Linked DNA regions of Nothobranchius furzeri. The protein of the gene in region 1 interacts with the protein of each later gene in a biochemical or structural test. Links are inferred from orthologs where the notes say so. Each region holds a gene or a part of one and is shown in the gene's direction. Other genes may lie near its edges. The genes, in order: ralaa, ralbp1 and pld1b.

The links.
Region 2: the proteins of ralaa (region 1) and ralbp1 form a complex in vitro, tested with the Homo sapiens proteins (3 studies listed by BioGRID). The link is inferred for Nothobranchius furzeri from reciprocal best matches to the Homo sapiens genes RALA and RALBP1.
Region 3: the proteins of ralaa (region 1) and pld1b form a complex in vitro, tested with the Homo sapiens proteins (2 studies listed by BioGRID). The link is inferred for Nothobranchius furzeri from reciprocal best matches to the Homo sapiens genes RALA and PLD1.

The regions. Positions count from the first base shown.
Region 1 is NC_091747.1:43,592,178-43,596,136, reverse strand, and holds part of ralaa (ras-related protein Ral-A), read left to right. Parts: intron 1-18; coding exon 19-227; intron 228-747; coding exon 748-922; intron 923-1,008; coding exon 1,009-1,131; 3' UTR 1,132-3,959. UniProt on the Homo sapiens protein: Multifunctional GTPase involved in a variety of cellular processes including gene expression, cell migration, cell proliferation, oncogenic transformation and membrane trafficking.
Region 2 is NC_091751.1:42,841,170-42,845,679, forward strand, and holds part of ralbp1 (ralA-binding protein 1), read left to right. Parts: 5' UTR 1-33; coding exon 34-283; intron 284-2,888; coding exon 2,889-3,320; intron 3,321-3,400; coding exon 3,401-3,750; intron 3,751-4,141; coding exon 4,142-4,303; intron 4,304-4,510. UniProt on the Homo sapiens protein: Multifunctional protein that functions as a downstream effector of RALA and RALB. As a GTPase-activating protein/GAP can inactivate CDC42 and RAC1 by stimulating their GTPase activity.
Region 3 is NC_091747.1:63,395,308-63,400,426, forward strand, and holds the start of pld1b (phospholipase D1), read left to right. Parts: upstream 1-1,693; 5' UTR 1,694-1,765; intron 1,766-2,115; exon of another isoform or gene 2,116-2,210; intron 2,211-5,119. UniProt on the Homo sapiens protein: Function as phospholipase selective for phosphatidylcholine. Implicated as a critical step in numerous cellular pathways, including signal transduction, membrane trafficking, and the regulation of mitosis.

The DNA.
Region 1 (3,959 bases):
GCTGATGTTTCTTTGAAGTTTGTGGAGGACTATGAGCCCACTAAAGCAGACAGCTACAGGAAGAAAGTGGTGCTGGACGGGGAGGAGGTGCAGATTGACATCCTCGACACGGCTGGCCAAGAGGACTACGCAGCCATCCGGGATAACTACTTCCGTAGCGGAGAGGGCTTCCTCTGCGTGTTTTCCATCACAGAACTGGAGTCGTTCGCAGCAACAGTAGATTTCAGGTACATTTTATAATTATGTTACAGTCAATCCTCTCACTGACTCGTGATCTGAAAGCAGTAGAAGCTGGTGCTTAACCCCAGCAGTCATTAGGTGAGGGGGGGGGGGGGGGGCATCCTAGACAGATCTCTAGTCCACCACAGAGACGAACAACCCCTCACTCACTCTTAGGAACAAGATGAAGTCTAATTAACCTGAAGTAAACGTTTTTTTTTTGTCCGTGTGAAAAAACCCGCACATGCTAACTCCGCTTAGGAATGTTGCTGCTGGGATTCAAACCTGCAACCTTCCTGTGGAGAGGCTACAGTGCTATCAGCAGTGCCACCGTGCAGCCATCTGCTTTTATCCAATGATTCATTAATTACTGCAGAACAATCATCACTTTCAAATCCAGCTCTGTCTACTGCCCCCTGGTGGAGGATCTACGGGTGCATCAAAATGAAATCCCTTCAAGTTTTATCAGCTGTTCTAAACCAAACCACCTACAGAGCTTTGTTTCTATCCATCGTCTCTGTTTTGCAGAGAGCAGATTCTGCGAGTGAAGGAGGATGAGAACGTGCCCTTCCTCCTGGTGGGTAACAAGTCGGACTTGGACGACCGGCGGCAGGTGAGCGCGGACGAAGCCAAGGCCCGCGCTGAGCAGTGGGGGGTGTGCTACGTGGAGACTTCTGCCAAAACCCGCGCCAATGTTGACAAGGTTTGTTGGCACACCTGTTACAGTCGCCCCACCGTGTTTACCTGGAGCAAATAGAACAAGATTTTATTTTGTTTATTTCTGTCCAGGTGTTTTTTGACCTGATGAGAGAGATCCGAGCGAGGAAAATGGAAGACAGCAAAGAAAAGAACGGGAAGAAGAAAAGTAAAAGTTTGGCTAAGAGAATTAGAGAGAGATGCTGTATTTTATAGTGAAGTTCTGCAGGTTAGCTGCTTGTGTACATATACATTTCTCAGACTTTTGCATTTATTTTGTGCCCATACCTGAACACCACTTCCTGTTTCTGGCTAACAGGACATCCGTGTCAGGAAGTAGTAAAGACGGCACTCCATCCACCATTTATAACTCTAACTTTTTATGTGCTGACACTCCAAATAATTTAGGATTCAAATACTCTTTTTATTTTATTATTATTATTTTTTTAAACTCTGACAACATATTGGGGCCGTCTTTGATTTAAAAGAAATTAAATATGGATATAGAGCTGAGGGAATGAAATCCTAGAAGAAATGTAGAGATTAATGTCATATTTACATAGAAACACAAAAATACAATTATTGTTCTTGAAAGTCCTTCATTTGCAAGGAAAAGTGTGAAAATGTCCTTATCTAAAACACACAAATTTACAAAAATAAAACTGATATTGACATTTTAAAGTTAGAAATTTGTGAAAAAAAAAATATAGGGAAGTGAATTTACTGAAACACTTAAAGTGGCAGTGTGTAGTATCCTGGCACTAGGGGGCAGTACATACATTTCGGGGTAATTTTACAACATATCGCCATGACTGTCGCTGGTTTAAAAAAAACATTACAGTAAATGTCGTTACCTGCGGAGAAGAAAGCATGCAACCTCGGCGTGGCTCCTCAGACTTTGATGATCCTTCAGTTAATTCCATCAAAGGAATGCTGATGCTAGATTTCTGGCGCTGTAGTTTCCGGAACTGCTTGAGTTCTGCGCCTGCTGATGACATCATCTTATTACGGCAATACCACTCGGCCAAAATGTATTTCATTTCTTTTTTTATTCTGTTCTTTCATGCATGTTTTGGAAAGAGTTCAGCAGTTTTGTTATTAAATTCATGTTTCTTACTGCTTAAATGATTTTGAACGTGGTAATGTAACTTCCATAAGCCGTTCTTCCAGCCAATCATCTGGTGTGATGTCATCGACAGGCGCAGGACCCCAAGCTGGCCAGAAGGAAACATGGCATCTAATATGGCGTCCCCCTTTAGACCTGATTTTGATGGTTATGTGGTACGAAGCCACCAATATTTTTCAACGATTGGACATTATTTTATTCATTTTCAATGTTTCGATGGATCTTTCCAGATTAACGGTAAAAACTGCACATTGTCCCTTTAAATTGATCATTAACTTAAAAATTCCCAAGAATAAAGTAGAAAATTAAAAGAATGTCCAGATATTCTTAAAGTGTTAAATTTATGGTTAAAAACAAACATCTACCAGTTCTAGTTTTGTACTTTTAGACTTTTGTTATTAAATTAGTATTTTCTTCATGCAAACAAACAAAAAAAAAACAGTAGGCACTGGTCATTTTTTTAAATTAAAATATTTTATTAATCTCAGCATTTCTGCAACTTATCTAGGAGTTTAACCCCCCTGCTACGTTCCGCTCCTGTTCTATTTAAACTACAACGGCCCTTAGATCCCATCATACATCAGTGCCCCGAAGCTCCTAAATGAACCTTTCATTGTAACGCTTGTTGTTTATAAAGTACTCAGACTGCAGGTTGAGTTCAAGTAAAAATAACTTTAAATGGAAGAAGATAGGAGGAAAGCCCTGAATCCATTTAATGAATTTAACATCTTTGTAGGAAAAGCAAACCGACCACAGGTCCCTATTTGCCACAGAAGAAAAAATGAAAGTTTATCTGAACCTGGGGAGGATTTTTTCTTTATTTAAACATTTCATTATCCAAACCAGAGCTGAAATTTGATGCCATTCCTTCCTGTTTTACTCCTGGAAATGTTCTTGAGCACTATATTAGTCTGCAAAGGGTCATTTTTCTTTTTTCTTGGATTATAGAAATATGGGTATTCCCCCCCCCCCCTTTTCTCAGTCACTTCCGAAAATGCACAAACCACATCGAACCCTTAAAGCCGAGAAGGATTTTAGCAACACCTGAACTTGTTACTGGCCTCCTAGCTTCTAAAGGCCGGGCTAATGGCTGCCGTTGCCTTCTGCTGTGACTGAGGAATCCCTGGTGCTCTGATAAGAGGAGATTCCAGAAACACTACGTCTTTTCTACGTGAAGTTCTGACACTTACGATGAAACTAATGGCTTCCAGATGTGGTCCTATGTGGTTTTAAACTCAATACTTTTATTATTTAGGAATAAAATGGATGAGCTGTCAGTCACCAAAGAAAACTGCTCACAAATAAGTGACCAGTTCCTAATTCTGGTGAGTGAGAATAAAGAAATCAGCACTACGAAGTTTGAGTAGATAGAGTAAGCTAGCTTATCATGGGAGTGCAACTAAACAGGGTTACGGGGGCTTTAGGAATTCCTGTGGGATGTGAAACTGGATAATCCCCACTCACTCATCCTGTAATCCTGGACGGCCAGTGCTTCAGTTTAATTTTATTCCTTTTGCTACATTTGGTGCCAGGCTGTGTTATAATAATGAAAATCGTGTGCTTGTTTTTATTTTTGTTCTTTGTAGCTGAATCGTTTCAGAGGTGAGATGAAGGTAAAACAGTGTGACAGTTTTCAAAAGCTTCAGTGAAAATTTCCCCTTAAATCTTAGTTTTACTGAGACACTTTGAAACGATGGTTTTGTGTAATATTAATAGCCAGACAGAGTTGAAGATCCACACTAATCAGTCTTCAAGAGTAAAGATGAGGAGTCTATGCAAAGTGGAAATGTGAAACCGTGGAATATTTCAGAGCACCGTCCTTGTTTTAAAATCTGCCTTTTAAAGAGGCAAGTCTTCATAGACGCGCCACAACTCGGATGCATTTAACGGGTTTTTCAGCCAGTTTAGCGTCTGTTTC
Region 2 (4,510 bases), on another chromosome or scaffold:
CCAGTCAGAGGAGCGCTAAAGGCCAGAGAAGCTATGACTGAGTGCTTCCTACCCCCCAGCAGCAGCCCTGCAGAGCAGCGCAGGGCTGAGCACCCGGGGGGCGTTGCTCGTACCCCCAGCTCCGAGGAGATCAGCCCTACCAAGTTCCCCGGGTTGTATCGTGCCAATGAACATTCGCCGCCTCATGATGGACATCACCACGAGGCACCTGACACATACGTCTCTGACGATGACAAGGAGCACAGCAAGAAGAAGAACAAGTTTAAAAAGAAGGAGAAAAGGAGTAGGATATGTTTTAATCTTCTGAAAATGATTATTTCTTCTGTTAAATCAAACCTGCTTTAGTTATGGGGAATGACCTGAAGCTGTTTTACTCCAAAGGTATGCTGGTATTTGTCACTAATCATTAGGGCTGAACGATCTATCGTTTGTGGATCGAAATTGCGATTTCAAACAGTACGGTCGTGACTGTCAAAGCTGCGGTTTTAGCGGTTTTGACTGATCCAGGATCAGTTGTGTAACTTTTTTTATTTTTATTTTTTTACATCCGGGGTTTTCTCCCTGTGTTATGGCGGTGGCATAAGCCAGAGCAGGGGAGGGGAGAGACTCCTCCCACATCGGAGCAGGTTCAGGCTGGTTTCTAAAGCTGGTTTATGCTTCATCAGCGTGACTGCAGAGTCGCGCACTTTAGTTGACTTGAAAGCTAAACTTCTCATTTAAAATGGTTTGAATGTTTCTGATGGCATATGTTGGTTCAAACAAGCTAAGGTGTCAGAATGTGTTCGTCTCTCTCACGGAACTGACGTTTTAGTGAGGAAAAACTATCAAGACGGCTTCGAAAAACGTGCAGCCGGCCTGCCTTGGAAATGCAGGGAAAACTGTGTGCATTTTTTTTATTTAATACATTTAAAAGCTATTTCTATCTACAGATTTCCTCCATGCATTTTTGGAGTAGAACATGTTTTTATAAACCTCCTCTCTAGATAAAAATCACAAGCACATGTTGCTTCACAAACACATTAAAAATTTAAATAAATATAATTATGGGAGAAAATATGAATAGCTTTAACTGTTTTTATTGTATGACTAAATAGTAAATATTAATGTGAATGATTTGTTGTACTAGATTAGAATCTAGACCATCTTTTCACTTAATCTATAGGATGGCTTGGCAGGCTAGTGTTGGACCTTTGTTTGCAGAAAATCGTGAATTGAACCGAAATCGCAATTTCTGCAAGAAAAATTGCAATTCAATCTTTTCCTAAAATCGTTCAGTCCCACTAAACATGGAAAAATGACTTCAAAGGTTTTATTCCAAATGCAAAATGAGACCTAAATAAATTGGAAGATATTTTTTATGGAATTTCAATAGATGAAGTGTTTGTAGAAGTTACTGATACCACTAATTAAGAAAGATTTTCAAACTACAAATATTTAGACTGGAATTTGAAAGCATACCAGCACATATTGTGACAATCCGGAGTTCTCCCTCAGAATTATGGATGATTTTCTAGAAATGTCCTGCCTGTTTTGTGATATAATGTAGGCAATGCATCTTTTTATTTATTTATTTTTTGCAAAGCCCATCCTCGTCCTGTAGAGCCTCATGCAGTTTGAAAAGTGTGCCGCTCAGCATCAGCCAGTAGTGATATCCGCCTATGTACAGATGTCAGTCAAAGAGCAGAGTTGGGGGCATTTCTCATGGACATGAATTAGCACAACTTGGGAAAATATACAAGACGGTGTGTTTCAGCCCTGTTTGCCAGCTAGAGGTGTGGCCATAAATATGGAGGTGGGGAGAATGGCTTAAGGTGCAATACATGTTTCAGCCTCTAGATGGCGGCGTCAGATAAAACAGTCCATATATCTTATGTGTTCATATGTTCTGCAAGTGCATTGGTTCAGTCCTTGAGTATGAACAATTAAGATTTTTTAAAAGCCGGGTTATACTGATTTAAGAATAACTTCATAGTAAATAGGTGACTAAAATGGATGAACCTGTGTGTACACATACCTGAGCATATCATAAAAATGTTAGCTTTAGGTTAAAATTAAAAATATGGTTTGTTTTAATTAATTTAATTGAATGTCCAAATATAACAAAGAAAAGTCTAAAGTATAAAAAATGTGTTTTAGAACCAGCAAGATGGTAGCTGTTAGCTGAAGGATAGCTGTACAGAATGAAGATGCAGTTCACACATTTCTACAACCACCATCAGCAGCAGACGGGGTGGGTTAAGTGTCTTGCTCAAGGACACAACAGAAGAATTGTCTGCCAGGGCATGGAATCAGTCCTACAACCTTCCGATTATTAGACAACCCGCTCTACCTCCTGAGCTACTGCTGAGGAATTAAGAGTGGTTTAAATCTTTTGCACAGCACGAGTCATGAAGCAGCGTTTAAAACAAACCAGCGAGAGTTTTTCAGCTGTTTAGGTTCGTCCTTCCTCTCCTTGCTGGTAGTGCGGTCAGTGTCTTTCTCTGTATTAGTTTTTCCATGTCTGCTTTTAGCTCCTGCACTCGTGTCCTGCGAGTGAAAGGAAGTGATGGTCAGTTTTAGGCCAACGCCCACTGATCCCAGTGACACTGACAAACAGGACCGATATAATAATACTAGTAAAACTGAGAAGAGGTCACTCGTTAGATATTAGAGATGATCGTCTTTAGGAGAAGCCAGCTGGAAGGTGTTGGGGGAGCTGTGCTCAATCAGAGGTGACCTCTTTTCCAAGTCCCCGTTCTCTCCCTCTGCTCTCTTTTCTCTCTCACACATCTCTCTTCCTGTTTCTATTTCGCCTCTATCGTAGTTCTGTTGTAGGAGGGAGATAAGGGCACCCTCCCTTCAGATTTAACCTCGTTTCTGCCTCTTTTTTTCACTGTTTACGTCCACAGCTGAGGGATACGCCGCCTTCCAGGAGGACAGTTCGGCAGATGAGGCGGAGAGCCCCTCCAAAATGAAGCGCTCCAAGGGAATCCACGTGTTCAAGAAGCCGAGCTTCTCCAAGAAGAAAGAGAAGGACTTTAAGGTGAAGGAGAAGGGCCCCAAAGAGGAAAAGGCCAAAGATAAAAAGTCCAAGGACCTGACGGCAGCAGATGTGGTCAAACAATGGAAGGAGAAGAAGAAGAAGAAGAAGCCTGTTGCAGAGTCAGAGCCAGTCCCAGTGGAGACCCCCACCATCAGGCCCATCTTTGGAGCCCCGCTGGGTGAAGCGTTGAAGAGGACGGCTCTGTACGACGGCATCCAGCTGCCCTCCATCTTCAGAGAATGTGTGGACTACATAGAAAACTATGGCATGAAGTGTGAGGGTATCTACCGGGTCTCAGGTATCGAACACCTTTGTTTTCCTTCAGAAGAAATCATAACACTCCTCTCTGAGTACTTCATTCATTTGTTTCCCGGCCAGGTATGAAGTCTAAGGTGGATGAACTGAAAGCCGCCTACGACCGTGAGGAGTGCCCCTGCCTGGAGGAGTACGACCCCCACACCGTCGCCAGTCTGCTGAAGCAGTACCTCAGAGAGCTGCCCGAGAACCTGCTGGGTCGAGACCTGGCCCAGAGGTTTGAGGACGCCTGCGGTCGGCAGACGGAGGCCGAGAAAGTGACGGAGTTTCAGAAGCTGTTGACTGAAGTGTCTCCTGAGAGCCGACTTCTCCTCTCCTGGCTCGTCACACACATGGACCATGTCATCGCCCGGGAGTCGGACACCAAGATGAACATTCAGAACATCTCCATCGTCCTCAACCCCACCATACAGGTCAGAGGAGGCTGTTTAGTGTCTACAAAGTACGCTACAGCCAAAGTACGGCTTAAAGAAGATAAAGCGACTTTAACTCAGACCTTCTCCTTAGCAACAAACCAACTAATTTTACGAGTTCAGTTCATCTCTGACACCATTGCCCAGTTCGGCGGGGCTAATTTATCCCCAGAGGAGATGCCCCACTTATTCTGAGCCAAAAACATCAGTAGCCAAAACAGCGTTAAATAAACACGATCGGTTAATGAGAGTATCGAGCTGAGTAAATATGCAGGAATTTGTGTTCTGGAGAATCTGACCTAGAAACCTTTGGGTTGGTCATCTCAGGTTCAGGTGAGGGACGGATGCCGTTGTTCTTCTTGCTTTGTGCTCATTTTCATCTTCCTTTCAGATTGGGAATCGTGTCCTTTACATCTTCTTCACACACGTGAAGGAGCTGTTTGGGGACGTTGTCCTGAAGCCGGTGGTGCGGCCGCTCCGATGGTCCAACATGGCAACGATGCCGGCTCTGCCCGAGACGCAGGAGAGCGTCAAGGAGGAGATTCGTCGTCAGGTGGGTTTAATCCTGTTTGATAAACCAAAAGCCAAATAGGTTTCCACTTGGTCTCTGTGGGCTGTACCACAGTTTGTGTCCCAGATATTCAGGGAGTGTCTGAAAGATCACAAGGCACAGGTGCACTTGTTCATTTTTATTTGTGCACCTGGATAAAAAAAAGAATAAAAATCTTAACAAATGCATTTGAAATTTAGGAAAAGGTTT
Region 3 (5,119 bases), about 20 Mb from region 1:
TTTTGTTTGATGACCTTTGACCTCCCAACTCACGGGATGAGCTTGAGTCAAACTGACACACCAACAGCTGGTGTGGAAAACAGGATTTTAGATGTAAGCTGGATGAGCTGCTGGTTCTGGTTCTGATGTTTCTGCTTTAGTCTGTTCACCCGCCCACCGGAGGATTGGCTCTGGTGGAGCTGTCACGTCTCATCTGAGACAGACACAAGATACAGAGGTGGTTCTGTAGGCATCCTCTTCCTCTGCCACAGGAACAGGGGTTGTGGACAGATTTATTACCAACTGCAGAAGACGAAGCATCAACTTGAGCGTCGTTATGTTCTTGTCGTTTGTGAGACCTCAGGAGCTTCAGTACGTGATTATTTTAATTATCAGTCAGAGACTCCAGCTCATTTCCATGCAGATGTTTTATTTTGTCTCACTGTGGCTGCAGGAGCAGGAGGAACAGCAGGAGAAGCTGCAGCTCCTACTGTTGCTCCTGGCCCCTTACTGCGGCAGGAGCAGGAGGTGCAGCAGGAGAAGCTGCAGCTCCTACTGTTGCTCCCCTTTGCAGCAGGAGGAACAGCAGGAGAAGCTGCAGCTCCTACTGTTGCTCCTGGCCCCTTACTGCGGCAGGAGCAGGAGGTGCAGCAGGAGAAGCTGCAGCTCCTACTGTTGCTCCCCTTTGCAGCAGGAGCAGGAGGTGCAGCAGGAGAAGCTGCAGCTCCTACTGTTGCTCCCCTTTGCAGCAGGAGGAACAGCAGGAGAAGCTGCAGCTCCTACTGTTGCTCCTGGCCCCTTACTGCTGCAGGAGCAGGAGGAACGGCAGGAGAAGCTGCAGCTCCTGTTGCTCCCCTTTGCAGCAGGAGCAGGAGGTGCAGCAGGAGAAGCTGCAGCTCCTACTGTTGCTCCTGGCCCCTTACTGCGGCAGGAGCAGGAGGTGCAGCAGGAGAAGCTGCAGCTCCTGTTGCTCCCCTTTGCAGCAGGAGCAGGAGGTGCAGCAGGAGAAGCTGCAGCTCCTGTTGGTCCCCTTTGCAGCAGGAGGTGCAGCAGGAGAAGCTGCAGCTCCTGTTGGTCCCCTTTGCAGCAGGAGGTGCAGCAGGAGAAGCTGCAGCTCCTGTTGGTCCCCTTTGCAGCAGGAGGTGCAGCAGGAGAAGCTGCAGTGAAGGGACCAGGAGCAGCAACAGGGTCTGGTTTAACTGTTACTCAACAATTCTCACATTTTAAAGATGTAAGTGAATTATGTCAGAATAAACAGGCTGCTGTGTGATTTTCTGGGTTACTCACAGGAAATCACACAGCAGACTAGTGTTTCTACACAGGAAGTGACTCAACCTTCAAAACAAAAGCCTCACAGTTAGGTTTTAAGCATGTTTGTTTTTAAAAACAACTAAAAATGTCTAAATGTTTCCATTTCCGAATTGAACAGATAATTACCTTTAAAATATAATTATGGCCTGTATTTCATTTTCAAAAAATGATTTCTAATTTTATTTTATTGCACCTAATTTTTATCCTAAAGAGTGGTCTGACACTTTCTTTTATTCTGCTGACCTTTCTGTTAAAATCATCTAATTACAAAACAACTCAGAACGTTGTTATGCCATTTCATTTTCTTTGACTTCAGTGCATTCAGCAGCTGGTTTGTAGCCACCAGACCTCCAGAACAGAAGTATTCTGATTACTCTTCATTTGTCTGCAGAGACGCTCCAGTGCTGAGCAGGAGCCTCATCCTGGAACAGAAAAGGGAGGAGGCCACGCCCTGCTGCTTTAACCATAACAAGAGGTAAATTCAGCATCCTCTCTCGCTCGGACTCTCTGCCAGACGTCACAAGAGTTTAATATAATAACAGACATTTAGCTCTAAATGTTATCTCACAAGGAGGAAGTGTTGGTCTTTGTAACCCCTCACATCTGCTCCATTAAACACACGCCGCTGACGAGTCACTGATGGTTACCATGGTGACCCTAATGAGCCTCTAGTGTGAGTGAAGTCACATGTGTGTATTTTATGTTTTTGTGAGCTAACCCTTTTCTGTTTTTAAACAGGAGTCTTGAATCATTATAAACTTTTTCTCGCGGTCCTTTCTCCTCCCAGATATAGGCTTTTATTTTGAAGGTGAGCCAACCGGATGTAGTGCCCAGGTTTTTTACAGCTGTTTGACATCAATCAGGTGGGTTTGGGTCTCCCGACCAGAGGTGCAGCTGCTGTCGCTTCACATCAGGAGGAGGTGAGTCCCGGTCCGGTTCGATGGTCCGGTCCGGTTCGGTCCGCTTCATGTGTTTGTTTTATCGTGTTGGGGAAGTTAGCTGGAGTTGAGCTGTTTAATGATTGGCTGGTTCGGGTTTATTTAATATTTATTTGCTGTGTGAAGGAATCCTGCTGCAGGGTTCCGGTTCTGGTTCTGGTTCGGTCTCAGGGTTTAATCAGTCTGGTTGTTGGAACCGTCTCCCGGGGGGAGGCGGGTTCTGGAGCTGTTCGTGGGCGGGATGGGAACGGGTCAGACCTGTATGATTGTTCCCCTTTTCTCTGCTCTCCTCTCCGTCCGCGGTGAACTTCCCTCCGACCAGCTCGGGTCAGAACCAGAACCAGCTCCCCACACAGGCTGACCCAGAGCCAGCTCAGCTCGGGTCAGAACCAGAACCAGCGCCTTCTCCTCTGAAATCACTCCTGGTGATGATTCACCTCCAGCAGTAAATCACGCGCAGGCTCCGTGTTCTGGTTCTGGTTCCGTTCATTTGTTGTGAAACTGCTGTTGAAATGTTTCTGACTCAACCAGGAAGTCAGAGAAAATCTTTTCTTCTTCTTTTCTTAAATCTGTGAAAGGAGATTTGATCAGGGTGTTTTAAGCCTCTGCCTCTAACTCAAGGGATGAGCCAGCCAGACGTAAAGAAGATGAAAATATGCAGAACAAAGACTAAATCGGATGAAAGCCCGGTGGGTTGTGCAATCCCACGTTTACATGAAGGAAACGGTTGTTGTGGAAACCTGGAACTCGGCAGGAATATTCAAGCAGCCTAAACATGTCAGCAGCGGTGAAGCTCCTGAAGTTCAGTCATGGTTCTTGGTTTTGCTCCTGCCCTCGAGCTTATCAGGGGCCCATCTGGCCCTCTTTGAACCCCCTCTGGCTCCGCCCCTGGCCCCCCCTCAGAACCATAATTTGGTCTGATTTCTGGAGTCGGCTCAGTCGGGAAACACCGCGATAACTTCTGGATCATCTGGAGGTTCTTTAGTTTCGAAACTTTTAGTTTTGTCCTGTCGTTGCTTCTAGTCACCCTGATCATAGTTCTACAACAGCCTGACAGTCTGGACATCCATGATCCAGAACCACTTTAGGAGATTACCGGAACGCCGTGCTGCTGGGAGGCTGAACAGAGTCTCAGATCAGGAGATCTGCACCTCAGTGGCAACGGGCTAACGGTACTCAGCCAGGCCTGTAAACACGGCCCACAGGATGGGAGTGCTTCATTTACTTTGAGGGTGTGTGTGTGTGTTTGTGCCACACACACACACACACACACACATCCTGATGGGCGATTCCAGCCTTTAATCAATACCAGCAGCAGCTAAATGTCAGGATCCACGAGGCTCTGGAGACGGAGCAGCCTGCAGGCAGGAACCTCACCCACTCTGGAGAACGTTCTGCTCCAATTAGGAAATAACAGGAATGATCCTGGAGACCGTTTGTTCAGTTTCACATCCTGCAGCTTTGGGAGATGTACCCAATATCTGCAACAAGCTGCAGGAGGAGCCTCTAACAATAAGCCCCGCCCCCTCAGGTAAACTCGACTGTAGAAACCTGATCCAGAGTCCAACCGGGACACAGGAAGCTGGACTTTCCATGACTGAATGTTGTTCTGTCTCTGTGATGATGTCATCATATGTCTCACTGCAGTAGAACCCCTAACAGCCACTGGTGGTTGCCATAGTGATGCTATTGAACCACTGGCAGCAGCTTTAACATTTCTGCTCTGGTGCTACCTAAAATGATCTTGTTGTATAAAGGGAAGAGACGAGGCAGAAGTAGACGTATTTAAGCTTCTAAAACCTCATCAAACCGACGTTTTCCTTCGTGTTTCAACAACAGACGGCTCACACGGAGCTTATTTACTCACGGAGGGACTTTTAAACCTGCTGACGATTATCCATATTCATGTTTGTAGTGAACTGAAACCCAGCAGCAGGTTTTAGCAGCAGCAGGAGGAAACTGAAGGTTCCAGCTGCTAAACTCTGGTTTTACATTAAAATAAAAATATTTAAATGATGATAAAATCAGTTAGCACTCAGCTGCTGTGGCTTCATTAGCTGAGGTTATTTCCTGTTTGCATCTGCAGAAATCTGAATGTGGGACTTTTTTTTACTATTTCAACTTCATGGTTAAATTTGGTGCATAAACTATAATTATCCTCTAAAGTGAAACGGTTTAGTCCTAAAGTCTGCAAACGCCTGGATTATTAAACTTTTTCTAAAATGTTTGCTTCAAATAAATCAGTAAAACTTTTATTTTTCTCACAAAGTTACAAAAATGAGAACAAACCTAGGCTTTTATTTTGTTGACACCAATGATGTCTGTACTTAAATATGTTCTGTGTGTGTGTGTGTGTGTGTGTGTGTGTGTGTGTGTGTGTGTGTGTGTGTGTGTGTGTGTGCATGCGCGTATGGGCATGTGTGTGTGTGCGCGCGTGCATGAGCGTATGGGTGTGTGTGTGTGTGTGCGTGTTTTAAATGAAATCTCTGAACATTAAAGATGGCCTCCAGCTGATGTTAGGTGGTTTTGTTTGACCGAAGCGCAGAAACGGCGACGTGTCTCACAAACGGGCCACAGCTTGTGTCCGAGCCAAATGTCCGACTGATGAAGGCGTCACATTTAAATCAGATCTTTATTTTACCGCCTGTTAAACGTTTCGTATTCTCGTTCACCTAGAACCATCAACACCAAACACAAAATCACTTCCTGCCACAGATTTATTTTTATTTTAAAACTCCAGCCTCAAATTTCCAGACTTCGTTTTTATTTTAGAAAAATTACAAACTTATTTTTAAATATTTCAAACATTTAAAAAACGACTAACTTTGGCTGTAAATCATTTAGAAACCTGCTAACCAGATAAACTAGGGAGACTAGAAATGCACAGATTC